Drosophila melanogaster: one gene and its partners. The protein of the gene in region 1 interacts with the protein of each later gene in a pairwise test. Each region holds a gene or a part of one and is shown on either strand. Other genes may lie near its edges. The genes, in order: CG17896, Kap-alpha1 and CG11380.

What was found.
Region 2: the proteins of CG17896 (region 1) and Kap-alpha1 interact in a two-hybrid assay, tested with the Drosophila melanogaster proteins (one large-scale study listed by BioGRID).
Region 3: the proteins of CG17896 (region 1) and CG11380 interact in a two-hybrid assay, tested with the Drosophila melanogaster proteins (one large-scale study listed by BioGRID).

The regions. Positions count from the first base shown.
Region 1 is NC_004354.4:488,780-498,495, forward strand, and holds CG17896 (uncharacterized protein), read right to left. Parts: upstream 4,717-9,716; 5' UTR 4,639-4,716; coding exon 4,609-4,638; intron 4,245-4,608; exon of another isoform or gene 3,967-4,244; coding exon of another isoform or gene 3,964-3,966; intron 3,850-3,963; coding exon 2,317-3,849; 3' UTR 2,008-2,316; downstream 1-2,007. Other genes in the region: CG3156 (uncharacterized protein), read left to right, coding at 95-297, 364-645, 706-1,449, 1,523-1,792; CG17778 (uncharacterized protein), read left to right, coding at 6,291-6,338, 6,690-7,025. UniProt on the Drosophila melanogaster protein: Probable malonate and methylmalonate semialdehyde dehydrogenase involved in the catabolism of valine, thymine, and compounds catabolized by way of beta-alanine, including uracil and cytidine.
Region 2 is NT_037436.4:19,800,745-19,810,898, reverse strand, and holds Kap-alpha1 (karyopherin alpha1), read right to left. Parts: upstream 3,668-10,154; 5' UTR 3,580-3,667; intron 2,987-3,579; 5' UTR 2,963-2,986; coding exon 2,762-2,962; intron 2,700-2,761; coding exon 2,215-2,699; intron 2,156-2,214; coding exon 1,892-2,155; intron 1,825-1,891; coding exon 1,325-1,824; intron 1,261-1,324; coding exon 1,079-1,260; 3' UTR 501-1,078; downstream 1-500. Other genes in the region: Cyp305a1 (cytochrome P450 305a1), read left to right, coding at 1-347; CG14104 (uncharacterized protein), read left to right, coding at 3,753-3,959; Ccdc58 (Coiled-coil domain-containing 58), read right to left, coding at 4,109-4,213, 4,267-4,389, 4,447-4,593, 4,662-4,697; CG34116 (uncharacterized protein), read left to right, coding at 4,896-5,531; TORIP (torsin interacting protein), read left to right, coding at 5,870-6,422, 6,490-6,611, 6,667-6,897; CG14102 (uncharacterized protein), read left to right, coding at 9,663-10,154; Ir76a (ionotropic receptor 76a), read right to left, coding at 7,522-8,001, 8,059-8,563, 8,625-8,733, 8,785-8,908, 8,971-9,233, 9,291-9,453.
Region 3 is NC_004354.4:1,187,011-1,199,410, forward strand, and holds CG11380 (uncharacterized protein), read left to right. Parts: upstream 1-4,297; 5' UTR 4,298-4,682; coding exon 4,683-4,703; intron 4,704-7,187; coding exon 7,188-7,585; intron 7,586-7,653; coding exon 7,654-8,944; 3' UTR 8,945-9,650; downstream 9,651-12,400. Other genes in the region: CG14626 (uncharacterized protein), read left to right, coding at 1-116, 841-1,498.

The DNA of each region.
Region 1 (9,716 bases):
TGCGTTTATTTTGACCACTTATTCGCTTTATACAAAGCATACGTTATAAGAACCAATTCATATAGGTCTTATGTCTACCTGTTTCTCGTTTCAGCTCTCCGAATAGTGCGCAGTCTAAGATCCCGGCTATACAGATCTATGCTTATGCAGGAGGTGGGTTGGTTCGATACCAAGGGCACTGGAGAACTAATAAATCGGCTGAGCAACGATACCTTAATGGTGGGCACCTCGTTGAGCCAGAACGTATCGGATGGTCTGCGATCTGTAGCCATGATCGGCGTCGGCACAGGCATGATGGTATGATATAACAAAAAGTGGTTTGCACTGCCCAAAACCTTATTTTATCCAGTTCTTTCATTGCAGATCTACACCTCCCCCCAGTTGGCTGCCGTGAGTGCCTTGGTGGTTCCCGCGATGGCGGGCATGGCCATCGTGTACGGACGCTACGTAAGGCGGATCACCAAAGTAGAACTAGACAAGTACGCCGAGATTATGAAGTTTGCGGAGGAGCGATTTGGTAATGTTAAAACGGTTAAGACCTTCTGCCGAGAACAACAGGAAGTAGCTGCCTTCGATGGCAAACTGGATGAAGCTCTCCAGATTGGCTACAAAGAGACACGTGCCAGAGCTATTTTCTTTGGATTGGTAAGACCTAAAGGAAAGGTACTTAGGAAAATCATCAAAATCTGTTATCCCTTATTTCAGACTGGCTTCTGTGGCAACTTCATCATTATTTCAGTGCTGTATTATGGAGGAACCTTGGTATTACAAGACTCGCTGACGATTGGAGCCCTCACAGCCTTCATGCTGTACGCCGGTTATGTGGCCATCTCAATGAATGGGTTGTCCAACTTCTATAGCCAACTGAACAAAGGCATTGGAGCCTCGGAGCGTATTTGGGAGATCCTGGACAGGGAGTGTTCTATACCCATTGACAAAGGTGTCGTGCCGTTGGAGAAGCCGGTGGGCGAAGTTGGATTCCAGAATGTATTCTTTACGTTTCCAACTAGACCTGAATCGGCCGTCCTCACCGACTTTTCGCTAAATTTGATGCCGGGAACAACCACAGCGGTAGTGGGTCGTTCAGGATCTGGAAAGACGACGATAGCTCTGCTAATGCTCCGACTATATGACCCCCAAGGGGGAACAGTGCATTTGGATGGCATAGATTTGCGAACAGTGAATCCACAGTGGTTGCGAAATAACATTGGTGCCGTCAGTCAGGAGCCGGTGCTCTTCTCGTGCTCCATTCGAGAGAATATTCTTTATGGCGCTAATCCTGGCGAAACACCGAGCCCGGAGCGACTGCAGCAGGTTATTGAAGATGCAAATGTCAGCCAGTTCACCGACCAACTGCCGGATGGACTAGACACGCTCGTCGGCCAACGGGGAATGATGCTCAGTGGCGGACAAAAGCAAAGAGTAGCCATTGCCAGGGCTCTAATTAAGGTGGAGTCTAAATTCAATTCTTAGTTACTCAATTTACAATTTCCTAAATGTAAACTTATTCATACCCCCACAGAACCCCGCTATCCTGATTTTGGATGAAGCTACCAGTGCGTTGGACGCCGTTTCGGAAAATCTGGTGCAGAATGCCTTAGACAATCTTATCCAGGGACGCACCGTACTGACAATTGCCCATCGACTCAGTACAATTCGAAATGCGGATCAAATCGCCGTCTTAAGCGACGGAAAAATTGTAGAGCAGGGCAGCTACAACGAGCTTATGGGCATCCAGGAGGGCGTCTTCCGGGAACTGGTGGCCAGCCAAGCGTTCGGCAGCCGAAACTAAAAGAGGGTGTGGAATTTAAGATAAGTTGGACTAAACGGCTTAGAAGTGGCCCCACCGCTCCTTGGTGGTGGACCAGCTAGTGCTATTGTTACCGGGATATGTGTTCATAAATCAAATGTTTTTAACTCTTTGTAAAATATACACCGTTGACCATAAAGGAACCGATGTCTTTTCTTCCAAAAAAAAAAAAAAAAAACATTTCTAATGGCATCTTTCGTTGCTTTGGGTGAATACAAACACCTAAAACATAAATGGTTTTATTCTACGGAAACTTATTACTTTTCAAAGAAAATATTCAAACGGTTCTTTACATAATAATCGTTTAATTGTTATCATTTACATACAATTATTTTCAAGATACACGTTTCGTCTCAAATCGTCTTAAATCTAATAAACAGGCACACAAATAAATGCAATAATTTCTTTGTATCTAGTTTCTAAATACGTCCTGTGTGCAAGCATCCAGAAATTCAATACGTGGAACATTTCATCTGAATCTTCTCCAGAATCTTTTCAGGTTCTGCCTATTTCATGGTGGGCATGGCCACAGCCGCCTGGGTGTGGGTCACATCCGTTTTGCGCCACAACTGGGTGACCGTCTTCGTCTGGGTGTAGAATTTGATACCCTGTTTGCCATAGAAGTGATGGTCGCCGCGGAAAGAGCCACGAGTTCCGGTAAAGGAGAACATGGGCAGGGGCACGGGAATTGGCACATTCACGCCAACCTGACCAGCATCAATTTCGTTGACAAACTTGCGGGCTGCCGCTCCATTGGTGGTGAATACGGCGGTACCATTTCCATAAGGATTGGCATTTACAATGCCAATGGCATCGTCCAAGGTGTCGGCCTTCAGGATAACCAACACAGGGCCAAAGATCTCCTCAGTGTAGCACTTCATGCTGGGCGTAACATCGCTTAGGATGGTTGGTCCCACAAAGTATCCATCCTCGTATCCGGGCACGGTTATCTTCCTGCCGTCCAGGATAAGCTTAGCTCCCTCCTTGACCCCAGACTCAATCAGGTCATTAATGCGTTGGCGTGAGGCGGCACTGATCACGGGACCCACGTCAGTTCCAGGTACATGGCCGGCATTTACCTTCAGCTTCTGGGCACGCTCCACCAGATCGGGAATCCATGCCTGGGCATCGCCGACAAAGACAGCCGTAGACAATGCCATGCAACGCTGACCAGCAGCTCCAAAGGCGGCACCTGCCAACTGGTTCAAAGTATTCTCCTTGTTGGCATCGCCCAGGATGATGCCGTGGTTCTTAGCGCCCATATTAGATTGCACCCGCTTGCCATTCTTGCCAGCCCGCTCGTAAATGTACTTGCCTGCCTGGTCGGAGCCCACAAAGGACACTGCCTTAATTTCGGGAGCATCGCAGATGAAGTTCACAGCGTCATGTTGGCCATGGATTACGTTGACGACACCCGGCGGACAGCCAGCTTCGTTAAGAAGCTCCATCAGCAACATGGTTGCACCAGGCACACGTTCCGATGGCTTCAGCAGCATAGTGTTACCGGTGGTGATGGCCACCGGGAACATCCACAGCGGTATCATGGCCGGGAAATTGAACGGCGCAACGCCAGCGGTTACTCCGAGGGGCAGCACTAGTGAGTACGTATCCATGTCCCTGGCCACGTTGGCTACGGTTTCGCCCATCTGCAGAGATGGGATGCTGCAGCAATGTTCCACCACCTGAAGGCCGCGGAGCACGTCGCCCTCTGCGTCGGCCAAGGTTTTGCCCTGCTCCTTGGTAATGTTCTTGGCCAGCTCACCCATGTTCTCCTTGATGAGAGCCTGCAGCTTGAACATCACCTGCTGGCGGGTGAGGATCGACTGGTTGCTCCACGAGCGAAAAGCCTTCTTGTTCGACTCAAGGGCCGCCTGCATCTCCGCCTGTGTGGCCTTGGGCACGCGGGTGACCACTTGGTTGGTGGCCGGATCGTGCACGTCAATCCATTCGTTCGTCTTCGACTCAACGAACTTGCCGTCGATGAAGAGCTTGGTTGTGGGAGCGGCTGAAGAGTAGGACCTCTTTGCCAGATGGCGGGCCTGGTGATAAAGGAGGGACAAGAGTTGGTAAACAGCCAGTACAAAAGGTATGAACTCCGATCGCTAAGCGTACTTTATTTTCCCACTTCCACGTATACTAAACCAAAAATTTACCATTTAGTCCACCTTTCATTTGCTTTGCAAATTGCCCAGTGCTCGCAATCCTAACCTCAACGGCCGGACAAATCCGTTTAATGTGGGGTGAGGTCTATTTTTTTGGGTGTTGATAACTTGAGTGGTAGGCGCGCGGGGGGCAGCCGCCCACGCTTATCAGTGTCCATCTGGCAAATTCGAGATTTTCATGGCGCGCCTGTCGTGGAAAGGTACCGCTTATCGCGTTTTATTGGATTTAACGTCAACTCAAACATTGTACCGCTAAATTCCCCGCGAATTCGCCTTGTGCGCTTTATCTGCTTAATATTCTGGTTCTAGTTCTACTTCTTCCGCTTCGCAGCGACGTATTGCGTAACATGTGTTGTTTTCAACTGCCCGTTCGCCGCTCACACCCGTGGGCCATTCCAATCACTAGAGTGGGTGGAGTGTGAGATGGGCGCCGAAAGTGCATACATTACATGCCCAAGGCCAATCGCATCGCCAATTACCGAATTCACGGCCACACCAGTGTCAGAGAGAACGAGAGAGAGCGCCAAAACGATCCAAATGCTGATGGATGGATGCACGTATGTATGTATGTCAGGGTGAGGATGGCAGCCTAGCATGCCTATAGGACATACACCCACCCACCAATTGGAAACTCACCTCTGCTCCGATCAATCGCACTAGGGACATCTTGGGGATACGGAGATGAGAATTTGGTGCGGGGATCGGATCGCGTGCTCTCCGAACGGTGGCTACACTGAAACTGAACGCAGCGCAGCCGCCCATTTCTGATGCCAGTTATTCTCCACTGTTCTCTACACATATACATGAATGGAAATATATATGTACATATATCTGTATAGGTTTGAGGTAATGTATGGTGGTGTGGTGTGGTATTGGCATGGTGTGGCGATTGTTGATATACGAAGGCGAAGGCGAAGACCACGTCAAAAAGTGCTTTACATTAGCAAGTGGTTATAGTTTGATGCTCACACACACGTGTACACGCACATATGTATGTAACTTGCTACCGCACACACCGTTAGGAACCGGGGGCACAGCTGTTGTTTTTGTGTTGCTCTGTTTTCGCAATTGTTGCTGTTGCTGTTTTTTGGGGGCTCGTTGTGAGTATGTGTGTGTGAGTGTAGTGCTTGCTTTGCGGTGTTTGCGTTCTTGTCAATTCCCTGCTGGAAGGGAATGTTAGCTATGGTGACGGCAGTGTAGTATTGTAGTACCCAAATGCATACTCTATGGTTAATCAATTTTATGGTAATCAAGCCAGTTTATGTGTTCCAGTTAGATTGTAACAACTTTTTAAGTGTACAACAGTGGAAGTGTATTGGATCTTCGATGCTAGACATGCTGAACTGGCTTAGGGTATTTATAAACACCGGCGGATCCAATGTAGTATATTTGTGTTTTTCCATCAACGTATGTACATATGTACATATGTACGTATGGACACATGTACATATGAACTTAAACGAAATGTAATCAAATATTAATACTAGTGCTTAACCGAGGATGGAAAAAATAATCAATTAGGTGATAAGTGCTTCCTAGCTGAACAGATAAATCCTAAAAATGTTTCCTGGAACGCAGTGTGGACAGAAGCAGGCTGGCGCATTTTTCACTTTCTGAATGAAAATTTGTCTGCCTGCTTTTAGGCTTTTGGTCTATTAAAATAGCAAGTTCGCTTTCATCATCGGGCAGGGTAAGCTTTTGCTAGCAGCCCCGCTTCCTGGTCAACATAATCAAAAGGACTAGCCTGCACCGGGAAAACAAAATCCATGGAAATAGATGCAACACAAATGAAAGGCTTTCTCTTTTTTAAAGAAAGTGGTTTGCTTTGTCTCTCAATGGGACAATAGTAGCTCCTTTCTGCTCTTCAGTGATGCCCACCGGTAGTTGAATCAAGGAATTACAAAAAAAAAGTTCTGTCATTTGAAATCCATAACGTTTACAAAAAATCCATTGGCTTCGAAAAGTGTAAGCATATACTAAAAAGAATTCGATTAAATATAGCATATTTTTATACGTTGTTTTTAAGCAAGCTAAAGAAGTACCAGCACTGCCACTCGCTCTTTCTCTCGCTCCCTCTCTTGCTGCGGAATGCGGAAGTCAACTTGTGTGCAGGAGCATATAAATAGTGGGACCAATCGCAGGACTCGCTCACTCTGCTCGGAGAGCTTGGACTGGACTGTCAGCGCTCCGGACGACGCGCCTTAAGTTAGGCAAAAACAATTTTGTTATTTGCCGCAGTATGGACTTGCTGCGCTGACTTACTACTTACTGTCATGCCAAGAGGCTGAGGTCGAGAGGCAGCTTGGGATCTGGAAAAGATGGAGGCCACGCCGGGCTACCAGGACATCAGCGCTCTGGAAAAATCGGTGAGCTTATCGACCAGGCAAACAGAAATAGCCACTTATTCATTCAGAAGTATAGGCACTCAGAGTGTAGTGAGAGAAATTAGGGACACTCCATGGCGGTCTATTACAATCATAAGCCACATTGTCAGTTGGTGCCGAAATATGAGTATTTAAGATCTTTGTCCAAAGTACCTAAATGTAGACTGTTAATCCAAGTTTATCGAACTTAATTTAAGATGTTGTTATCAGGATTTGATCATAAGTTCTCCTGGGAATATCTTTTCAATGCTTCCCTAAGCTGAAGAGAGAACGGAAGCGGCCAAAATTCAATTACTTAATCCATAGGTAACCTACATTTCCCTCTGCTTCAAGGTGGCCAATGCAGGATCGCAGCTGTACACGATGGCCCACAAACTGCACGCGGTGGAGCGCAGCCTCGAACAGACGACGATGGAGCAGATGGACGAGATGGAGGTCCTCGAGTTGCTCGAGTCGATGAGCGAGGTGACCAACGAGTACCAGAATCTGCGCAAGGACATTCGCGAGGTGCAGCAGTTGCAGCGTGACGTCAGCAGCTCCATACGGTACCAAATGCGCAGCATGCAGCAGACTTTTCACACTCTAAAACAGCGGATAGCTAGCTCCCAGAAGGGTCGCAAAAAGCCCGAGAAAGGGCTCGATGGAGCAGGGGTTGGTATTCATGAATAATCAATGACCCTATTGATTGGCCTCCCTGGCGAATAGGTGCGGTAAATGTGTCAATGGGGACGCAAATGTAGGGACTAAATTGGCACCAATCTGAAGCAATCAACTGTGTAACTATATATCGCAAGCCCACTCCAAGCATTTAGACTCGGAAAAAAATCCTATACTTTATATACATGTATACACATTAAGAAAACCACACCCATTGTATGCGAATTAAGGTTTTTTTTTGGTGTTTTATTCCAGTGATAGGCAGGAATAACGAAAACTCACTGCTCTAAGAACACAAAAACACAATGCTTAACACAGAGTAAACAACATTTACGATGATATGCGTTCTTTAGGACGAACCGGAATGTCTGAATGCACTTTTCCAAATTTTGCCTTAACATAATAGTATTTTGAGGTAGTTTTTGATACGACACGTTTTAAAAGATAATATATAACAGACCGTACATATTTAGGCCACACACAATGGTTATTCTTGTGTTAGTTTCATTTTTGGAGATTTATTTGTTGAGCTCTAGAGAAAATAAAAGTTAGTTAAACCTCGGGAGACGAGGAACGCATATATTTAAATCTGGCGCCATCCGGTTGTCAACAACAACCTTCTGGCAACTCCTCTAAGTCGCATCTGGCAATGTCATCTGATCGCAGCCGAGTGGCAACAGTGGTCGCTGCTGCGTTCGCGTACTTTCGTGACTTCATTTGCGATTTTATTTATATTCTCCGTGTTGCGAATAAAATGTATGTATCATGGCAGTTGTTTAAGAAGCGAATATACGCTGATTCATCCTAGGCTGGCGAGAAGATCATTGCGAAAAAAGTGTACGAAAAGAAAGTGCAATAACTGCAGCTCTATTGTGCGCGCATCTGGGTGTGCGTAGATCTTTGCATCGGTGTGTCGGTGTTTTTTTACGTTTGTGTGCGTGGCGTGCCCACATTTGTGGCACAAGTTTAAAAATTGGCACTAAGAAAGTTCAAGAAAGTGGTTCTGGGGAAAATAGTTCATTCATTCAGCATCCACTTTCTGTTGAAAGTGGCGCGCCTGCGTTTTGTGTCTTAATCATCGCATTGCTGCCTGCCTACGTGTACAGAAACTGCGAGCGCTCCGGGAGAGTCCCCGAGAATCCCCAAAATGTTGTTTTTCTGCCTAGCCTTGATCATCGGCTGCGCAGTCGGAGAATACAGCGAAGTCCGGGTCATCCAGGAAGAGGACAACTTCCTGGAGAGTCCTCACTACCTAAAAAACGAGGAAATAGGAGATCTTTTCAGCCAGCTAGCCAAGGATTACCCCGACTTGGCGCAGACCTATACAATAGGCAAATCCCTGGAGGATCGACCCATCTACGCCCTAGCCTTAAGTGCACCTACCGGGGAGTCCAAGAATGGAGATCTCCTAAGGCCAATGGTTAAACTGGTGGCCAACATACAAGGCGATGAAGCCGTGGGTCGTCAGATGGTTCTCTATATGGCCGAATACCTGGCCACCCACTACGATGGGGACCCGAAGGTCCAGGCGCTACTAAATCTCACCGAAATCCACTTCCTGCCCACCTGTAACCCCGATGGATTCGCCAAAGCCAAGGTGAGTCACCTCCTGTTTCTAGCTTATCAAGAATCCACGGAAAGCAAGTTTTGGAACGGAAAAATGATTGTAAAGTGAGTGTCGAATCGCCCGGCCAACTGTTTATACAACACACTAGACCGAGAGAAAAATACGCTTTGCGTTTTTTTTCCCAACTTGTACATTATATTCAGTCATTAGCTATACACTTGAACAAATGTTTGCCGTTTTTACTGTGGGATTTCCCAAACTTTTGGACCTATTGCTGTTGCAAAAGCGAGCTTACAATATTGAAAAGCAGAATTGCTCTTTGGCATTTTGTTTCTATGTACATGTCTTTCCCTCTCTCCATCCCATTTTTCTTTATTCCCTGTTTCGAGCTTTTGTGTGAATGAGCTGGTCTTTTTTGATTACCGCAAATAAAAAAGCATCGAGATCAATCTGAAATCATTCCCAATCAAAATGGAATGTGTGAACGAAAGGTTTTGACCCACTTTTGGCCTCTGCGTTTGTGATCCCTTAATTAGCAGGCAAGAACTGCATCTTAACTTATCGCTTTCAAAATAAAAATCTTTAAAATAAAATTTAGCACAGTCCTTAGAAATTTTGTGCCCCATAATGTTTATTTGATTCCCCCTGCATTTCGTGGTATTGACTGTTCCATAATGTTTTGAGTACATTTTAATTAATTATTTTGTTTAAAATTGCACGGTTGTATAGTTTTCATAATTTTATTTTTAGATTCATGCAATGATGCTACAAATTTGTATAGGTAATGACAATTAAACGGCCATCGTTCTTTAGCCTAGGAATCGTTATTTGTGGCTCTTGTCTGGTTTTTTATGTGACCCAATGGCATCTGAACATTCCACTTGTGCTCCAGCGGGTAACTGACACAATTTAATGAGCTGTTTAATTCTAGTTAGGCCTGAAAATCGCATATATTATGGCCTTGGTACGTGATGTGGCGATGCTGACCCCACATCCTTTGCCATTTTTCGCTGAGTGCGGGTGTGCGATTCTTGGTGACGGTTTTATGGCCTCTCCAAAACTGTGCTGATAAAGTAAACAAAGTTGGTATTCGGTGCGCTGACGTTATGATTTCGCAACTGCAACGGCGGCCCCAA
Region 2 (10,154 bases), on another chromosome or scaffold:
AGCTGGGTGGCTACGACATTCCGAAAAATGCCACAATTCTGATTAGCCTACGTTCAGTGCATCTCGATAAGGAGCACTGGAAGGATCCGCTGGAGTTCCGCCCAGAGAGGTTCATCGATTCGGCTGGCAAGTGCTTCAAGGACGAGTACTTCATGCCCTTCGGCATGGGCAGACGCCGTTGTCTGGGCGATGCCCTCGCCCGTGCCTGCATCTTCTCGTTTCTAGTGCGGATCGTGCAGCATTTTAGCGTTGTCCTGCCGGCGGGAGAGTCTCCATCAATGGTGCTTCTGCCTGGGATTACGCTTACTCCAAAACCATACAAGGTGCAGTTCGTCAAGCGCACCTAAGTTCGTGACTGGAGTCGATGGTGTCGGTATTATAGGTCAAGAGATATGGTGCTGAATCCACTAGGATATTTCCAAGGATTCCGAAAATTATTTACACATGAGGATATTATAAGCTTAAAGATTCAATAAAAACTTATGCCAATCTGCATAGCTGTGGTCTAGATGTTGTTTATTGATGTCCTCTAAATTAAATTACAATGCTTTATAATTTAAACAAATTTACATTCGGCGATTCGCATAACAAAATGATCAAATGAATCAGAATGTATAACAACACCATGTGAGGATCTCATCGTACTTGGGCTGGAAAATATATATATAAAATGGAAAATATTTACAGACTCAATTTGAGGAAAGCAAAAACATATACAATGGGTTCTGTATAACATATTAAATTAGTACAATCGAACTAAATGAAAGCAATCTCGTCATGCCTGGTCCTGGACCACTTCGAAAATTATAGAACTAAACGCTGATACAATAAGCAGGTGAGTGATTGTAACAAAGAAACGAGCCGACCGAACGACCATCTTTCCTTAAATGCTAGTAGTGACTGCACTTGGGCAAGGCAGACGCCTTCTCATGCGGTCTATTTTTCATGTCCGTGCTCTGGCCGCCTTCATTTAAATCCCGGCGGCAAGGCTTCGCTTCCTGTTGCATATGCTTCTGTGTGTTTAGGACTTGAGGGATTCGTATTTGAATAGTTAAACGATGTCCTGCGCGGTAGGGTGCTAAAAGTTAAATCCGGTGCTGGGCATGTTGTCCGGATCGAACTCAAACTGTTGCGTGCCTGCCACGGGAGCCACCCGGCTATCCTCCTCTTCGTTGCCGAAGTACTGTTCGATAATGTAAAATGATTTGTGGTAGATGTCGCGGTTTTCATGCGCCTGCAGATACTCTATTTTGTCCAAACCTATATAATATTAACAGAATCGATATTTAAATGGAAATTTGAAAGTAAAAATAAATAGCGTTACCTCCGCATTCCTCGATGGTAATAGCATAGGGATTTGGTCGCGTCTGGAACTTTTCACCTGCCTTCAAAATGTTTTCAAGTGCATTTAGCGCCACTTGGACGATGTCCGAGTCGACGACGGTGAGAAAATCGCACATGGGCGGCACACAGCCAACCTGCACCAGGTAGTGGATCTGTTCGTGCGTACCGCTGCTGGTTGCGTTGGTAATGGCCCATGCGGCCTCCTTGCGAGTCTTAAATTCGGCCGTCTGCATGATAACCATCAGCTGCGGGAATATGTTGGCATTGATTAAGGCCTGGATCTGCTCACGATTGCCGGCTGCAATATTTGAGATTGTCCAGCACGACTCCTTCTTGATTGTTTCCGCCGTCGAATGCAGCAGGTGGCTAATGCAGGTCAAAGCGTTGTACCCCAATATCACCTGGGTCTGCTGATCGTCGCCTGTCACAATATTGCCCACGGCCCTCAGAGCAGCTGTGCTCACGTTCTGCTGAGGATGTCTGCCAGGATAGGTCAACAAATCATAAGTGTAATTTTAATTTGTAATGGCGCAGCAGGACTACTTACAATAGCAGCTCAACCAGGCGACGGCAAACACCCGCATCAATTACAGCCTGGATTTTATCATTGGGACCATCTGACAGGTAGCCTATGGCCCAGCAAGTATCGCTTAGTACATCCGCATCAGTGTACTTCAGCAACCGTGCCAGTATTGGTAGACCATGGCTAATTTTGGCAAAGTCTGCGGGAGGGCTTTTGCCGCGGCACAAGTTTGAAAGTGTCCACACCGCATTCCGTATCATGGTAATGCGATCCGAGTTGCTCAATACACTGCAAGAAGTCACACCTACTTTGGCGCAATCTTATCAATATAATTATTTATAACTTACTGCAGGAGAGGCTCTAGAATGCCGGAGCCGAGCAAATGGTCTCGACACATGGGTGAGTCACCGGCTATGTTGCCTAGGGCCCACACGGCCTGTTCCTGAACATCATCATGGGGACTGGAGAGCAAATCAATGAAGATAGGCACTGCCCCGGCCTCGATAACCACCTTGGTCTGTTGCGAGGTGCCCGATGCGATGTTCGTTAGCGTCCAGGCGGCCTCGAACTGCAGCGTGGCATTTGCGCTATTTCGCAAAAAGGTGACAAACTGTGGCACTATCCCCTTCTGGATGACTTCCTCAATGGGAGGATTGGGATCGCGGGACAGCAGTTTGCGGAACTTTTGAGTCGCCTCAAGCTGTTCGTTTTCACGTCCACTGAAGAGCATTTGAATCATTTCCTCGTTGATTACGGATGGCTGTGCCCCGCTTCCAGCAGCTTCCTCGTTTTGACCGCCAGTGCTGCTGTCAGCCATGTGCATGTCGGCAGCCTGCATTGGAATGGAGAGATAGTTAAGACTATGCTATCAGGCCAAACTTGATCAAAATATACCTGCTGTTCGTTATCGGTGTTGCTCTCCACTCCGGCTGATGTTGAGGATGTAGCCGGCTCAAGAACCACATTGCGTCGCTTAAAGAGCTGCTGTTCGCGTTTGTTTTTTCGCAACTGGATGCCCACCTCCTCGCGACGACGACGCATCTCTGTGGAGTCCAAGGCGGCATTTTTATAACGCTGTTTGTGGCTGGCAGACATTTCGTCGTCTTGGCAATTCAAAAGCTTGAAATAGTTAAAAAAAATATTTCTTTGAGAACAGAATAATTTAAGTCGTAAAGACAGGTTTCAGATAAAAAGTGAGTGCGACTTGATTTTCGCCGCTACTGTGATCAAATGCTAAACGAAAGTGCAAATAATCTAGAAAATATAGGTAGAGGTCGTCGTGGAATGCGAACTAGTTGAATTGAACGTTTATAATCATCACTAGGTGTTCCCCAATGTTCTCATCCACTCCCACCAGGATTATTACGCCCTGTAACCACTGAACATTCGCTTAGCGCCTGCTCTAGGCTAATTTTACATTTCCGGAAACATAAAGATTACGTTGTCAGGCGAATAATTTACATATAATAGGTTCACATTTAATGAACTATTCAGTTTTCCTGGCAAAATGCACAATCACAACACTTTCACATTTCATTGTACGTGTATGTACATATGTGCACACACGGCTGCTTTGCGTTTGTGCGTATAGGTGCGGGCTTAGGTCAGCCAGCATGAGCCATTCGCTGGTCTCCGGTTACGCCCTTCTTTGAGCCACCACAACTCCTGGTTAGAAGAGGCGCCTTCAGATACGTAATTAGAACACAATTTACCTGTTCCGGAGAATCCTTTTCTCGTCTTAATCATGCAAGGGGACGGGAGATTTTACACGTTGTGAGGAACGGGGATGCCGGACTGTCAAAATGCAATGCACACAGCTGACGCGCTATCGATAGCGATATCAACCGATAGCAGTAATTCCAATCCAATTGCATTTAATTTAAACATGAAAGAAAATAAGAAAAAGTCGCGCAAAACGGCCAATAAGACAAATGAAACGTCAGAGGGTCAGAAAAAGAAGATCATTGAACTGCTGCACGAGTACAACGACCTAAAGGATGCCACCCAGCGCGTCCTGGAAGCCTTGGCCAACCTAAAATGCGTACCCGTCGGATCGGTTTACGCTACATACAACCTGCCCCGCGACGAATAAAGTTTGTGCTTTTTAGACTGTTATATTTATGTACTTGTTGTAAACAACTTGTAATACAACGGAGTGCATGTAAATGCCTTCTGGCTTGGCAGTTCCATGAGACTTCTGCTAATAAATCCACCTAAAACTAGTCATTGCATTTGTTCCACCTATTGGCCAGCATGAAAATAGGACCGGCATCGTTCATTGAAGGTCTTGTAGGAACGATCTTTAATGATGTCCTCGACATTGAGCTCGGCCTGGAGAACCCGCAGCTGGAAAGGATCATAGGCATCAGTTAAGAGTAAGACTTAGGTATTTCGGTTACCTTGCGCTGCTCCGCCCTAAACTGGTTATCCGTATCCACATCATCCGGCTGGGTCTCCCGCTTTTCCCTTAGCTTCTTCAGATTACTAGCCGAAATTGTTATGCAACTGCGTATGCTTTCTTGCTGCAAGGAGAAGCTATCTGTCAAGATCCCCGTGTGTTGTACTTAATCAGGATTTACCCTGGCCAAGTGTGACTCCTGGAGCTTCGCGTACAGATCGCGACAGGTGCTTTCACTGTTCACTTGACCCTTAAACGACTCCGTTGGCAGGGCATTTAGTGCATATATAATCTTGTCGTCCACATCTCGCATCTTCTTCAGTGCCTCCTGTTTGGAAACTTAAAGCCATTTAGTATGCCGGCTACTAACCCAAACAACAATATTCCAACCCCCACCTGGAAGCCGAGAAAGTCTAAGCACAATGCCGCCATTTAAACCAGGTAGGAAAACAAGAAAACACTTTAAAAAATAATAAAAACAAAATGATATATGTAAAATTGCCGGCGCAATGTGCCTCTAATCGGGGTTGCCACCTGGGCGGTGCAATCGATTAGCACGATTATGGACAATCGATGTGGATGATAAAGACTAGTTGAACAAAACAAAACAAAATAGCAAAATAATTCAAGATGCCGCTAAAATTCGATGATATTCACGAGAAAATTGAAACCGGCGTCTACCAATTGGCTGTTAATGACAAAAGCACACGGAGCACTGTGTGGCGGGTGTATCGCAAGATCAAGAAGGACGATGGTAGCTTTCTGGAGCACGTACTGTTCTGCATCGGCTGCAGGAGCATTATGTCCTTCACCCACAAATCCACAACGAACCTGAGGCGTCACCGGTGTCACCTGCAGTATCTCAAGAAACAGGCATTCTGCTGCTACAATTCCAAGGGCGAATCCAACGACAGAAAGGAGGAGACGGACCAGGAGCATCATGAGGAACATGATGACCAACAATCCATGTCGGATGAGTTGGAAACAAAACCCTCTCCTGCCGATGTTGCCGCCTTTGTGGGGGAAGCGGTCAGCGGCGGAGATTCCACTGCAGCTTCAGCCCGTATTCCGGACATTCCCGAGATCGCGCTACCACTCGACGCAAGTGGGGTCGAGGAGTCCAATGTTTATGCACAGACCTGGTCCCTTGAGTACCGCAAACTCAGCGAGGACCAAAAATTCTATGCCAAAAAAGCTATAGACGAAATCTTCGTATTGGGCAGGCTACGACGCCTTACTCTGAATACGGTTCCAACGGCGGAGTAGAATAGTTAATCAGGATTAAGTAGGACTTAATTTAAGCTAATATACATACTCTGTACATATTGTGTTTAATCTTTAAAGTCGTATCCCTAAGTCTGGGATATATCGGAATAAACTATTTGATAAATTGATTCTTTCATATTTCCTTTAAATTTATAATCAATTTTGATTTTACAATGTTGGAAATTATTGGATGTTTTGCGATATATTTTTATTCCTTCGGCATTTTTTATAGGAACAATCGATACAGTTTTTGGATATCGATATATTGTTTTGAGCTTCTCAGCATTTTTTATATTCTTCTTACTATTCAATTGAAAGCAGTTCTAATTGTAATAACAATGAGTAATCTGGCGAGACGACCACTGCATGGTAACGAACCTGGGGCTCTTTCCCAGTCAAAGGACGATGTGGACCAGGACCACTCCTACAATAGGCAGCCGGTACAAAGCTACGAGGAAGGGACATCTTCGGCCGACGAACTGGAAGAAAGTGAATCCCATGACGAACCCAGTATTCCCAAACCCACCGATCAGTCCAGAAGACGCAGTATTTCAACTTCTAGGCCGAGTTCAAGGCAGGAGCAGCACAATTCTATCAATGAACATCACAACGGCATCGGTATTAAACTAGCGCTTGCCGGTGTTCTATTTGGTTTATTGGTTGTCTATGGGTACGGATCCAGCATTATAGAGGAGAAACAGTGTGACTTTAAGGATCTCAGGACAAAGTATCCCCAGCAGCAGGAAAAAGTATGGAGAGCCCTGCAAAAGGGGATCGAGGGGCTGATTAACAAAAAGGACAAGCACCCCAGTGTATTTTTGTTCCTGCACCAGGATCCAAAGCTGGAGAAACTGATCGATGAAATTGCCATTGAGGCTTCAATGTGCTTTGGTAAGAAAAGCGCAATATTCATTTAAAATTTCTAATGTAACCCACTATGCGCTCGCCATTTGAACAGGTGGTCCCCGAAAGCTGATTCACATGAAGAAGGAGCACATGAAGGAATACGGTTTGGCGATTGAACAATTCAAATCAAAAATCAACGATGGAAAGGTTTTTTTAATAGTGAACCTAAATGAAGTGATTACCCTGAATTCTTTCGTTCTGCAATATTCTGAAAGCTTTCTTATTACAGATTGCGCCGAATGGAGCTCGAGCCCTGCACACAATCTGCGATACCTACAGCCCTCTGGTGGAGGATGCAGTCATCTTCCTCTCCCTTCGAACATTCAACACAACCGCCGTGAACAACTCCGTCAATCTAGCCACGGATACTCTGTACGATCTGTGGGACCAGGAGTTGGGGGACCACGAGCTGGATCCTTTAATTACTCGAGTTACTGATCAGGTGCTCCATTTGAGTTAAACTGAAAGACACTATTCAAAATCTTTTTACAAAGCTTATAAAGCAATAAATAAAGAGAATTTTGTTGGCTCTCGATGATAAATATATAAGTTAACAAGTAACATCAGGAAAAGCTGCGTGTGACGACGAACGACACACGAAGCTATACTTCGGATGCTGGTCGGCGGCCGTGATTTGTGCGAGATAGGGTAATCTTTCTTTGTATTACTTAGTTCTGAACTGACAGCCGAAATAAAGTGATGTTATCGTAAGATACCTGCCGTGAATATCAAGTCGGAGCTACGACCCTGCTACCGGCTTATTCCAGTTGGTCACTTCAGCTATAGTCACCGATCGTGGCCACCACCTGGTCCTGATCCGCACTCTGTACCACACCACAGCTACAGAGGCGACAACGAGGTGACTGTGTTGTGGGCAGCAACTCGCCGCAACACACTTTAGCTACTACGTGAGCAGCAACGTGCCACGTTGACATCCCCTTGCAACAACGGTGCAGGCGGAGGATTTCGCGGGCAACTACCTTGCCGCGTCCATCTTTAAATCATATCTTATATGTAAATATACTTCCATGTTTCAGTTTAGTTTTGATATTGTAGATGTATATAGAAAATAAAAACAATTAAACTACCCCTGTCCCCTCCAGAGTTCTCCGAGAAATGTCAGAAGGCTACAAATCATGCCGAAGCACCAAAGCAGGATTAGGCCAATAAAATTATCAATGCCAAGTTTAACAGGTCCTATATCTAGGTTCGTTTTCTCAGATGCCACGATGCGATTTTGGCGGTGCGCATTCATGTATTCGGCGGCGATCTTCCATTCCCAGAATTTGTCAAAGCCCGAGGAATGCCAAGCCAGAATGAAGTCGTTGTAGGCATTTAAGTGCGGCCACAGTCGCGGCACAAACGCCACCGTAAATGCAAAGTAAATATCATCCACCATAAGTTTCAGCCGCTTTAGGGCATCGTTTTCTATTAGCTCGGTGTTGCCCAAATGACCAAACTGAAGGCGCTCGACGACAAATCCCATTTGCTCCGTGTGCGAGAAGGCGGATATTAAATTGGCATCGTAAACTCGGTAATGCTCCATTAAACCAAGAAGAACTGGCTGCATAAATAAGAATCTTAAAAAATGTACTAATAAATTTAATTTTGTAGGGCTTACGTCGGCCGATCGCTCGTCAATGGTGGTAATCCAGGCCTGTGAAGTCCCCGTCCAAATGAGCTTATGGTCGAAGAGACGTTGGCGAGAGTCCGCCGCTTCCTCTAAAGTGGGCAAAGTGAGGATGGCCGCCAGACCGCCACTGTACACAGTGGTCAATATAATGTCGATCATGTAGCTGGCCACTAGGACGGTTCTTAGAGCATACGAGCTGGTCACATAATTGGTGCTCTGATTTACGAAAAGTTTCAGCGTACTGATGCAACCGAAGCGCAGACTACTGATCCAGGAATTGCCTGCCGCAACCGACGAGTGTTCCCAGCGACGGGTTATACCAAGAGCTAAGCTCTCGAGCAGAAGGCAGAGCATCACGCACATCCAGAGGACAAACTGGAATGGTCGGAGCAGGAGCGTCCAGCTGATTAAACGGTTCGGAGCGGGCACCAGACAGGTTACTCCAGATCGTCCCAGAAAATGAGTCATGTCCATATACTCGTACGCCTCGTACCTAGAAAGCGATGGAATGGTTTACTTTTCAAAATGTTTGATTGATTAATCAAGAGTTTTACCACAAATACATGCCCCCTACTCCGTAATCGTTTCGTCTATCGAGGATCATTCCAACCAGACCATAGCCCGAGGCATTCAAGTAGATGTCACCCCAGTCGTATGGTTCAGCTGTGGATTGCCTTGACAATAAGCTTTAGTTGAATGTATTTAATTACCTACATGTGTCCACCTGAATGGTGCAGTTGTACAACTCGCAGAAAATGAGCATTAGTTGAATATCTGTTCCATCAATGGTTACATCCGTCGTGTTCATAAAACGATCATAATATAATGGTGGCTTTTCCTAACTCACATAACTGGAATTACTGCGATATATTCTGGTAGCGAAAACTTATTAAAACTCACATAATCCAATAGCATAAAAGGCTTGTAGTCGAAGATGCCTATGACTACCTCGCGTCCCTTGAGGTTTCGCATCTTGCTGGACATTGCACTCTGGGTTTCCCAAGTAGCTTTCGTACCCTTGGCATCGAAACGCTGGAGTATGTAAAACTCAACAGGCTCCGGGTTTTTGTTAAAGTTTCGCGGACCGACAAATCGGTTCGTTTTAATTTCAAAAGTGCTTGAGTTCAGGTATTGTGAAGTAATTACCAAGATGTTAGGTTGATCTAGCAATTCAAATGGTGAGCATGTGTAATTATTTCAATTCACTGCACTTATCCTACCTTGGAATATATAACCGGACAGATAACTATCTTTTTTGTCCTCAAACTCTTTAGTGTAAACGAACATAAAACGATTTCGCAGAGATCTCCAAATGGAGTAGATGCTGGCGTGATAAAAATATCTGGCGAATTCGGGAATCTGCTCCTGAAATGCTATGAAGGTCTTACATACAAAAGTAAAATAATTAAATTTATTAATTACAAATTTAAAAAAAAAAGGGAATAACCAAAAAGTCTTCAAACTTAAAATTTAACATCAGCTGCTCCGTTATGTTATCGATAGCAGATTTATTACGATATAAGCCGCATAAAAACGGGAAATATCGTATTATCAACTTGGAAACAGTTGAACTGCAAAATAGTTTCAGGACAATGGACAAACTGGGATTAGGCTGCCCCTTCTCCTTCCTGGTCGGAAGACCGCAGAGTATGAGTGGGGGACCCGGTTTCCTGGATCTCAACTACGACTGCTACCATCAGATATTTTCATATATAAATGTGCTGGAGGACCAGCTAAATCTGGGCCGGGCCCATCCACTATTCCAGGTTGTACTGACGGACATTTTGCGAACGCGCCACAAAAAAATCAATGTGCGGCTTCTGAAAACCATTCCGGACTGGGAGTTCCTGCTGCAGCTGTGCGGTTCCGAAGTGTCCAGGTGCGAAGTGCCCCATGGTAGCTGGGATGAGCCGTTTACCTACCCCTTTCTGGGGCTCCTGGGACGGCACTGCCCCAAACTGCGACAGGCAGTCATCATATTTATGCACGCCGTTACAGAGTCGCCGCCGAAAAGTGGGGACAGGGGCCACATCATGCAGCTCCTCCTGGAGCTACCCAGTCTAACCAATCTCACTCTGATCGAT
Region 3 (12,400 bases), 700 kb from region 1:
GAGCGTGATCTCGAGCGTAATCGGCGACTGGAGGAGCTGCGTCAGCTGCAGCAGCAGCATCAGCAGCTGAGTTCGGGCTACGCCTTTCCTGCCCACCTGCCAGGTGTGCTCTATGTGTGAGTATTGGCTACAAGCGAGCTTTACTAGTTTCTTTAAACTTTTCTGGGCATAAAACTGGGTAAGGAAAAGCCCAAGTTTTAGCTGAGACCAAAACGAGTTCCCCAAACGAAAAGCTCTGAGCTTTGAAGTTTAAATTAGAGACTGGAAATTGTTACAAAAAAAAAAAATCATAAGACAGAATCAGATAAATTGAAAACAATTATTACAAAAGAAAAAACATAAAGCTGAATTTTCCAATGGCAATGAATAGTTCGAAGATTTGAATTATACCATATTTTATTTCACATCGAGAATCTACGCTCGAGAATTGAGCAGTGTCTTCAAAGTAGTATTCATAAATAAAAGCCGTAGCAGTCAATACCAATGTTCACTTAACACCCGACCGAGGATCATAATGGTTGCCCCTTTAATGGCCAACTGATTGAGGCAACTAGCCCTCAATCAGGCTCTTGATTGACACGTAAATTACCGCTTGAGAAGATTGCAAATTGGCAATGGAAATGCTAATCGTAATGGCGACGGAAAGGAGCCGTTATTTTGGGCCCAATGATCGCTTTCAGCCAACTTCGGATGGCCAAATTAGTTAGTTAGTGGCTAAAAGTGTTGAAAAGGCAGCATTTCACTTACAGCCGCATTAGCTTCCGACAAATGAAGCAAATGATTGCTGTAATTTAAAGGACTTAATCCGTTCGCTAATCAGCTTCTCTTCGTTTTTTCCAGTGGTCCCACAGCTGCCACGCCCACTCCCACGCCCTCGGCAGCGACGACGAAAGTGGCCTCTTCTGCAACTCCATTTGCCAATCCCATAGTTCCCTACGACTTGGAACTGGGGCTGCGCCCCATTCCATATGTAACCAGTAATGCCCTGCCCCTTCCAGTGCCACGCCCCCTTCCGCCACCCCATGCCCGAGCGCCGTTCATCTACGGATTTACCGCCCAGGGCAACCGAGCAACCAGCCACAAGCTGCCGGGTCAGCCCCTGCTGGTCCAGCAGTCCAAACAGTTCGCCTACGCTCCCGCTCAGCCCCCCCAGCGGCACTACGCGAATGGGCCACGGGTTCCGATACCGTATCCCCCAAGCTTTGTGAGCTTCACCACTCGGAGACCGGGTTCGGAGCGTATCAGGCCATTCCGGCCATCGCAACCGGATCCCACGCCCGATTTGTTTGCTGGACGCTCCTCGAAATCATTGATCGACTCGTACATTCCCAGCTGGGAGGTACTGCGCCTGATCAGACAGCACCAGCCGCAGCAAGGATTCACGCCCATCGCACGCCAAACACTCGCGTATCCCGCTCCGGCGCACTTGAGGCTCTACAAGCGAGATTCCCAGGAGGACCGGTCGAGAATCGTCAAGGAAACCTTACCCGAACCTTAGAGTTCGAGTTCGGGCTTAGCGTACGATTTAATTTTTTGTTTCTTAATTTACCTACAAATACGAATATTTATTGCCGCAAAAATGAGATTGTATTTTGTTAAACCTTATAATGGGGTCTTTTGGTGTCATTACGGGTTCGAATGTTTATGAATATAGAACCGATTGCCATCAGTCTCGTGATGAAATTAGTTTTCTCCTAAAGTCATAAAGTTGATCGGTGATCACATAACAGCATACACATGGCCAACAAGCCGCATCCCCAGCTCTGCAACTCTTCAGCTCGCCATTTAAGCCAGGCCAGTCCAGGCCATCGCGGGCCAAAAGCGAAGCCAATCGCATCAAATGTGCAATATGTGACTTTGTCAATGAGCCAGTTGAGCCCCAAAGCCACCGATTCGATTCCTTGGACTCTCCCCCAGAGGTTTTACTCACGTAATCGCGGCCATAAACCAAACAGCCAGCAATAACAAACAATTACGGTGCGATGCCACTCGGAGTGGCCACAAAATTATGATTTGTGTGGCAGTGTGCGGAGATGCGGAGATGCGGAGATGCAGAGATGCGGCTTCGAAATCCACGAGACAGAAGACACGAGACTGAAAGACGGACAGGTGGAGATTTATGCAAGTAGGAAGCGAAGATGCTGCAGTTGCAACTTGCGAATTTCGAGTTGTGGCAGTTGTTTGTGTTGCCGTTTTTTTTTTTTTTTTTCGTTTCGTTTCGCTGAGCTGCGCTTCTTTTGGCCATCTCATGGCTGTTAATGAAGCACAAAATTGCTGCATTGTTTGTCACCCATTAAATATGCAGACGACAGACGGAAAATAAGGATGATAATGATGATGATGACGGGCAGCCCTGCCCTGCTTTAAAGGGTATTTCCTGGCTGCCGTTCATTCCGGTGATGGCGAAGACCACACTGAGAGAAATAGCATATAAAATCTCGATGTTTCTGTCGCATTATAGAGAACTGTATTGAGCCAAAGCCAGTGACCTTCTCGTGGGGTCACATCTCGCTCCAGTTGAACGAGCCGAAATAAATCGTCTGCTCGATCGTAAATACGCATTCGAATTGATAAAGAAAGGGTCGCGCTTTGTGGAGGATGCCCACGGTCAGCCTTCTCGATTTTGGCTTTGTGTGCGATGCGATCCGTAGGCCTCTTCATCAGCATGGGACTTGCCCGGCACAATAAATAATCATAATGCCGCATTATGACGGCTGACTAAGTGACATTGTTGCACCTCTGAACAATGAGCCATGGCTAGTTGAATTGTTGAAATCGAGCTAACGTTGAGGTTCGGCCGCTTGGTTTGGCAATGCTTTCTTAGCCGCGGCTTTGATTCGCTCCGGTCATTGTTGGCATCGGAATTGGGCGGAATCGAATGGATCGGAGTGCCCGAGCACAAAAGAGCATCGAACTGGCGGGCTGACCAGCATTTCAATTGCGTATTCTCCTTATCGATGCGCGACCATCAATGGGAACTTAATCGAAATAGCTAGCCGACAGAGGGAGACCCTAAAGGAGGAGAGTCAAAGCGATTAAACATCACCTATTTCAACCTAAATGGACAAACATGTTTCGATTCTTTGTCCACATGCACTTTCTTCACCATGTCACTTTCGGAGATTGTCGACGACCCTGAAACGGCCAACACATTTCGAATGCAAGGGTACCACCAGGCGGCAAAAACACTTTCGACAGTGCCGCCTCGTGATTGCGAATGATGTTTTTGGGTTTTAGCTTGCAGTGTTCAGTTATCTACGGCCTTTTATCGTTATCTCGGTCCGCTTAGTGTCGTGTCTTGTGTCTTTTGACAAAATGGATTACCAAATCCCACCAGCGACGATCCGAACACAAACGCCACTCTTGTTATGCCATTTCTCCTTTGGCGCTGGGCAAAGCCAAAAGCGAAAAGCCACTCCAAATCCCAGGCCAAGCCCAAGCGAAAACAACTTAATGCGCCAATTAAAGTGCCACTACTCGCGGACCTCCGGCACTCTCTTTTTTTCCCATCTGGATGGGATGCTCTGCAATTGTTTTCATGCAAATTTCAGTTTCTGTTTCGATTGGTTTGTGGCTTTATGCGGGCCAGCGGAATACAGAAATAATAATAATAATGAACCCAAAACGTATTCACCCGAAATGAAAGGCCCCGGAATCGGTCTTTTGAGTCCAGGCCTTTGTCATAAGCCAAAGTTACGCCAATATTTTTATGGCTTTGAACTTGAACTGGAAAAGCCAAGACAAAAGCGTCGCCGTTTTGTCCCCAAAGAAATTGGAAAGGTTTCCCAGTTCCCTCCATATCTGGTTATCTACTATACAATCATATATATAAATATATATATATATGGCCCTTTGTGAAAGATTGCTCTCCCATGGCGAATCAAGGTCGATCATCTATGATTCTCAGCACGGGAAGCTCCATGCCTAGATGGCAATGGAAACTATTCAATGAACAAAGTGGGCAGGAATATTTAAACGGGCACATCTGTAACATCTCCCCTACTCGTATTCCAGTGCCTCAAACTACATCTTCCCAATTCCGCAACTTTTTTTTCTCCGCATTTTATCTCTCTGTATCTGACCAGCATCTAAAGTACTCCAGCACTTTGTTTACAGTTGCGGCAATCCCAGGCAACCTACACCTTCAGTCACACACAGCTACGTGCGGTGTCATTGGTGGTGAACTTCGGTCTTCTTTTCCCGATCCCCGGTCCACAATACGCCTTCGCCTTCGCCTTTGGCTTTGGTTTCAGCTTTAGCTTCAGCTTCAGCTTCAGCTTCAAAAATTCAACTTCAACTCCAACTCCGAAGCCGATATTCCAGCTTGATGCAACCCGAAGACCAAGTTGTTATGCTGTGCTTGCGATATAAAAACCGCGAGCATCGCCAGCGCCATCCGCAGTAAGAGGCGCGACTTTTGAACGCTAGCACCGCTCCGATTCCGATTCCGACTACGAATCTGAGACGAAAATCAAAACCAAATTCGTATAGACACTATAACCAACATAACTTAAACCCACCAGCCCGGCCGTGTACCCTTGGTATTTTTTGTTTTTGTGGTTCTCGAAGACACAAATGTATTGAAAAGTGCATATATTATTACATATAACATATAACGTCAATATCAAATTCGGATTTTGTGAAAAAGTCGCTGTGCATGCGCATTGATACCTGGAATCGCCATGAGATTAGCGTTAATATTGGTAAGAGTAGGAGTAAGATTATACAATCTCCTTTAGAAAACCCGGAAAATAGACCCACCCACCAATCGAATTGTGCAATTTGTGCGGGATAAAAACTAGTCGTCGGCTGACAAATTAATTTGCATTCAAGTGGTGCAGTGCTGGCCAAGCCGGCTTAGAAAGTGGTTGCAGTTCAACCAACTCGACCAGGTGTACGATACAATGAACTCCCAACTCCCGCTGTCTATGGTGTCTCCATATCTCGATAATCTTGACCTTTTCACTCGCTCCACTGACTCCTGCCCTTCGGCTTCTCGGCTATCTGACCCTGCCCTTGCCCACTTTGCCAGTCCGTGTCCAGATCCATCTATCAAGCAGCACGATGGAGGAGTAGTGGGGTTGAGTTGCGTCAATCGCCCACTAATTGGACGCTAAGATGGTAGAATCACAAATCTGGCGATTGCCGAAGTGGCCAGCAGAGATTCGTTTACGCAAATGTGCACACTGAACGAAATTAAGGGGTGGTAGGTGGTAAAGTGTCTTCACATTGAATCAAGCGGCTATAAATATTTATTTGCATTACTCATAAAAGAAATCATCTTGTGATATATTAAGTAAGTAAGTTTTGAACCAACGTACTAAAGTACCTAAATGTCAGGCAATAGCGTGTATTTAATTTATAAGGGCACTTTACAACTATGTCAACAAAGAAGTTCGAACGAGAAGCTTAATTTAACTTTTATTAATATTCGTACATATTGTTAGTCTATCCACATATTTGGATGTAGTCTTTTCCTTCGCAGCGCTGGAAAGACTCGTTTTCTGGAGTCGCCACTCGTGTGGTTACATAAAGTTATTACGCCCCATCCGATGGGGGAGAAGGCGCCGCTCAGCCACTGGCAGGATAATCTGTAGACGTCTAATTTACATTTTATTGTTGTGCTTGGCTTTGATGTTGCAGCAGCTGCTGTGCTGCTGCTGCTGCTGCTGCTGCTGCTGCTGCTGGTGATGCAACAACGAAAGTGAAACAATAACTAACACACCGCAGCACACAAACTGGGCAAAAATCCAAGTCCGACTAATTTGCACGCGTTGCGTGACGATCGTTTGCCCCGACTTGCCGTTGTTTGTAGCTCGTAATTTGCAATGCGGGAATGGGAATCTCATCTCTGGCGCAAAATCGCCCACCAACCCGTCCACTCGGTTCGATTCTTTGTGCGGCAAGTGAAAGGCAAGGCGACTTCGGGACTTGATGCAATTAAATTAAATTATTACAGAAAATAATTGGTAAAGATAAATCAATACGAAGACAGATCTAACTAGTTGCTGCTCTGCTCCTTCTGTATGAGCGGTGGAGGTTACATAAAAGCAGTTCGCTCTTCGGGTCCCACAGCTCATGCTAGCATTTGACAAAAATCCGCAGCTATTCGCTGTTGCGGCTGACTTGTGGCAAGGCGAGTGTGCCAAAAAAAAAACTCTTCCTGCTTAACGACTAGGCTAAATAACAACTGCTACATAAGCAACCAGCAGTAAAGAGACGACAACGACTATTAAAATGACTTGACACACTGTCCTAGTTTCGGGTAACATAACACACACACTCACTTACTCACTCACTCACTGGATAATCGAGTCACAAAGTGCAATTAAAACTTAACTAACCAAGCGAAGTACGAAATTATTGCTGCACATGGAAAACTGGGAGAGGCGCATGCTGCAATTATGGCATGCAAAGTCAGTAAACTATTTTGCTACTTGGAGGGCTAATTCGATTTGAACCGTAAATCTGAAATTAAAGAGTAATGATCAGTAATGACAAGAACCTAGCCTAAACTGGATTAAATGAAACATTATCAGGCTAATAACCCATAATTCGCATGTATCAGTAACAGTTAGCGACCGTAACCCATAATCGTCACCCAGATAATCATCATTTGATCGATGAAAACCGAACCATTAGTGTTATCTACCACCATTTGCGAATCAAATGACTGAAGGCACGAACTGCGGACAAGCGCTAAAATGAAAAGACTCAAGACACGAACTCAAAGACATCGAGATTCAATTACAACACCAATTCGCCTGACGAAATGTCAAATGTGAAACCTCTTCTCAGCGTGTGTTGTGCATCGAATGGCTTAACGATCGATATTGAGAGCGATAGATGGACCACAGCTTTTGTCTCCAACTCCCCCTTTGTCACCCTCTATTGTCTTTGCCTCTTACCTTGAGCCCGAACCAAGATTGGCCAAAACGAAACCAACAATTTTCACAATTTGATTTGAGTTGATTCCGACAACGAACCTAATGTCTTTCCAGCTTTGGAACATTTTTAAATCGTTACAAATTCTTGAAAAGCTAACTTCGATAGACTTCCTGTTTGTTTCAACTCGCAAGCTGGTAGCTAAGCTTTAAATAATATCAAAAAAGCAATTCCTTTAGTTAAATGTATAAGTCCTATAAAATTGATAAACATTTTACCTTGTGTTTGTCTATATTTCACAGGGCACTCTTAGTGCTATAGTGTGCTTGGCCAGCAGCTTGAGCCAGTCAGAGGCGAGTGGCTCAAAGGGCAATGGATTTCCCAAAAAGGTTACCACCCTGAAGAAGCGACCAACAAAAACGCCGACCACAGTTCCGATTTCCATCAGCAGAGCAACCACTTTGAAGCCCAGTAAGCCACGCGTGAAGATCGGCACATCGGCAACCACCAAGAGCCCCACGAAAGCACCGGCCTTAACCGAGACATTTGGCAATCTGCCGGCGGATGACCTGGAATTCATTAAGGAGCTGGACAAGCAGTTCAAACTGCACGGAAACAAGATCAAGATCAAGGTGGAGAGGGATAATTCCACGAGTAGCGGCGGCAAGAACAGCAAGAGGACCATCGAGGGGGATTTGGGGTGAGACCATGGATGACAGCATTTTGACTGACCAGATATTAACCCATCTAACTTCTATATCCAAACAGATACGGCTACTCGCATCCTGGCTATGATTACACGCCGCCCAAGTTCATGTTCTATCCATACTCACAGCATGATATTCCCTCGGGCTTTGCCCTTCCACAGCCACATCCGGAGGAGCAGGAGGAGGAGGCACACCAGCCGGCAATGCAACATCATCACAATCACGAGCAAGTGACCAGCGTGACCATTGAGCCCTCGTACTCCTACGAGCTTAAGCCCCAGACCAGCTATGAAACCCAACCGCAGCACACAGCTCCCGAGCAGCCGCAGATTGATCTGCCCCAGGATGAAGCGGAAAGTCCCAGTGGTGCAGGTGGTTCCAGTGGCCACGGGGGATATCAGGAGCCCGTCATTGTCTTGCGTATTCCAGGACCCGCCAAGTACGCCGCCCATTTGCAGACCCTTCTCCAGCAATATCTGGAGATCAGAGCGGCCCAGTACCTCAGCTTGCTCCAGGAGGCCGATCAGCAGCAACAACAACAGCAGCATCAGCATGTGGATCCTTCGCAGCAATATGGACCACCAGAACCGGCCACCTACCATCAGGAAGTCAGCTACGCCCACCAACTGGCACCCACGCCGGCACCCGTCCAGTACGCACCCATCGATGATGTCTACCAGAGCTACAAGGGTCGCCACCAGCAACAGCTGCAGCTGCAGCAGCAACAATATGAGCCGCAACAATACTACGCGCCCATGGACTACCAGCAGCCCACACAGTTCTACTACGCTCAGCCCCAATCCCATTTGCAGCAGCAGCCTCAGCTCTATCTGATAGCAATGGCCCAGCCGGAAACGGAACCGGAGCCGCAACCACAGCAGCACCATCATCAGCAGCACCATCATCATCTTCAGCAGCAGCAGCAGCAGCAGCAACCAATATACGTTCCAGAATCTGATCCACCGACGGGTCCTTCAGGTGGTCCTGAACAGGAACCGGAGGCGGACCACAGCCTTCCCATAACGGAAAACAACCCACGACCCACCCACACCAAGGTCATTTTTAATCCGTACCCCTACCAGCAGCAGCAGCATCAACCGCAACAGCAGACCACCAACATCGAGGAGCACCAGCACCAGCCTGAGGGCGAACGCCCCTTCAACTACCACGCCCATGCGATCAAGATGCGCCAGGGCAAAAGGGCGGCCAAGCCGGAACCCGCGGATGGGGACGTGGGTCCCAGTTCGGGCGACAAGGGACTCCAACAGATCAGGGAGTATGTGAGGGAGAAACTGGGCGCTGAAATGGGTTCGGCTGTCGAATACAAGACGACACAGCTGCTCGAGGGCTGAGGTCTGGATAAATGTTCAGATGTTCGAAGGCATGGAAACTCATTTGACCGAACGCACTATCTCTGCCTGGATGAACTAAACCAATTTTTAAACTTGGCAATCTTCAAACGATTTTATCAAAGGTTTTTTCGGATGCCTTAGAATTCTAGAATTAAATTTTAAATCGCTTACGCACGTTTTCTATGTATATATCCAGGCAAGCCATCTTTAAAACAAATTCAAACATCCGTACATTATGAATATGGGGATCAAGTCCAGCAAGACAGTAAAATTCCAGTGAGTGCCATGCCCACGTTCACTCGTATTCTTAACACACAATTTGTGGTTGCTTCTTGTGCCTGATATCCGCTCATTAGTATTTATTCCAAGCTAGAGGAGCAGAACGATCCCGGGGTGATCCTCCAGCTCCAAATCTCATCCAACACCTACCCGCAATCCCTGAGCTACACAGCCAAGGCATACTTTTGGCCGGAAAAGAGGGCGCCTAAAGATAGGCATAGTTTTCTTTTCTTAGCGAAGAGGTGCTGCCGGGACACATTCGCTTTTCATTATTTTGTACGACGTTTTTTTTTATGTTGTTTATATTGTTAACCAAGAAAATGTGCTGCTGATCATGTGTGCAATATTTAGTCTTAATGTGCTTCTTGATTTACCTATATTATGTACTTGTATTTTTGTATGATTAAACCGAAAAGAAATTAATTTGAAAACCAAATAACTCTTTCCATTTTATTCGAATATTTGGCCAATTCACGGAAGTCACGCAGCAAAGCCATAAAAATAGCATCAAATCCGGCGTAACTGAAGTACTAAAAGCTGAACGATTTTGACACGAGTGTTACAACAAATTTTTGTTAAATTAAATACACCGAATTGTTAGCAGGCACGCAATTGGAAAATGCGGGGAAAATCCCGGAGGAAATTTGCGAGGATGATGGCCCTCGCCATTCCAAAGAGTTCTCTTTTCCCTATCAAGTCAAGTAGTTAGCATGGCAAGAGTTCTGGGTGTGTGACTATACCTGTAGTTCAGCGCAACAAGATCCTCAAATGCACAGCATCATTGTACATAAAATAAGTTTATATGATCTGTGCTACACAGTGGCTGCTTGTTGTGGAGTGGTTTCTGGTGAAGCTGACGTTTTATGGGTCCATTGTTGGGACGTAGCAATCGTTTATTCAGATCTTAAAGCAGGTGCTTTTCACTTTTTCGGCACAGCGAAAGGAAGTACTGGATGATTGATAAGATTCCGGGACAGGGAAAAGACCCTGATTCCCTGAATGGCCTTACTTTGAAAGCAAATTGGAAGGCTTCCCAAAGGTTCAAACAAAACAATGTGATCGACGGCGCACTTCTGAATTCCCCGTGCAAAATGGCCAGGCGTAGAGATCACCATCCCGATGGGAGGAGGAGGTACGGCATTGGGAATGCAAATGCAAATGCAAATGCAAGTGACGAATGAAAATGCGAATCTGCCAGTGAGTGCGGAAGCTGCCGACCGCTTTTTAATTTGAGTGGAAAGTAGTCGACAGGCGCTGCCGCATTTCAAAATTATAGAAATTGGCACAATTTACCATCCATTGCGGCAGCTGATTATGCTAATTGTTTGTCAGTAGTATCTCGAATCTTTACGTAAACATCCATGTGGCAAGATGGATGTGGCAAAAAGGAAGAGACCGCCATGTGAAAGTACTGGGCTTGTTGGGGCGGCAAATCGTAGCAAATTACAGTAGATGACTGGTGCACTAGATTAAGTCGGACTTAAGTAGGTTTCTGTCACTTTATTTGCCGTAAAGTGAGTTCTGATCTCTCTGGCCAGAACTTGCGTTTTTTAGCAGCAGAAGAGGTCACTTTTCAGATCTAAACGATCATCTTGAAAGAAAATACCAGCTCCGGCTATAAACAACTAATTGCTTTACAATGTGTGGCAGGGTGGGAGATGAAAGATGTAAGCAATCCGATCCACAAACATAACATTTTTCAGCATTGTCGAAGCGTTGCAGCTGCCACAGTGCAGCAAAGGCAATAGGAAAGTTAAAGAAATAAATAAATGCTGATCGGTGTATGAAGATGTATGAGATGAAGAACTTAAATACATTTACGATACATTTCAAGCCGCAGTTAAATCTTTGATTGAATTAGTTAAATTGAATTAAAAACCCAATCCTTGGCAAATCAATTGGTATTGAGACTGTTCATCTGGTGCGGCTGCCACAGCTGTTTCTTTGGCAGCTGGCAGCTGGTAGTGGATTTGGTAGTTTCTGCAGTTTTTGGCCGCATAACGGGGCATGGATAGCCATGGCTATATGTATCTATGTACCTATGGCAATCGCACTCGACTGCTGACAAGGTTGTTGATCTGCACATATGTGGAGGAGCCGAAACGCTTTGCCAGCTTTGTTTTGCTTTGCTTTAGCCGCTGCAAAGTTGTTTCGCTTTTATTATTACGGCTATTATCGTTAGTGTTAAGTGTGGCAATTGTTTCATTTTCAGTTTCAGTTTCGTTTTTCGCTTCTCATGCAGAATATTAAAATATAAATCATACGCCCTGTGGGCCAGCGCCATAGTCCGCAATAAAGAAATCCCCGGCCAGCACGTAAGGGAAATCAATGAAATGCCAATTGGCAAGTTATTCCAAGGCGTACTCCCAGTTCTCTAAGTCCGGATCTCTTTATCGAAATTGAAATCATCGCTGTTGGTTTTCGGCAACGGCAATTGCTGCTGCTCTTTCGGTAAAATCATCATAAATCAGCGAACACTTTTCTCCGTTTGTCTGGGCTCCTTGTTAATTATTATGCACTGAATCAGTGACCATGAAGCCAACCACCGAGTGAAGATCTGCCACGACCAACCACCGACTGCCCGCAATGTAAACACTGTGAGAATACAGCAAATGGGGAAATTTAAGAATACATAAAATAAGACAGATCTAGTGTTAATGGATTTGTTTCAAGTTTAATTTAAAGGGTGCTAAAGGCTCCCTGTCGAGTCATTGGACTTGCAAAAGTCCTGCTGCTTTCCGGACTCCACTCCAGAGTGGGTTAGTGACTACTGCCCGTTGTCCACTATTTGTCGTTTAACCCAATAAATGCCTTCGGTGGCGAGGATTTTACAAGTCAATTACGGGTATTACCCACCTGTGCCGGCAAACATTTCATTGAACTGCCTGTGGTGGAATGGGGATTGTTTGGCTTAGCTTATGGCTTAATTGGCCATCAAAGTGGCAGCTTAAACAGAGGCCGAAACTGAAGCCAAGAAACTAAAAACTATAAACCAGTTGTCCCGTTGTCCTCTCTCTTTCGTGCTGGCCTATCGCCTTCTCTGTTGCACCTTATCGACTTATAATGGGCGAACTTATCACGCATACGCCGTGTTGTGCGTCGATGGCTTATTACGATTCGAATTGTCATCGAAAGTGAAGCGATCTTTCTCCCCTTCTCTATCTCCAACTGTCTCTC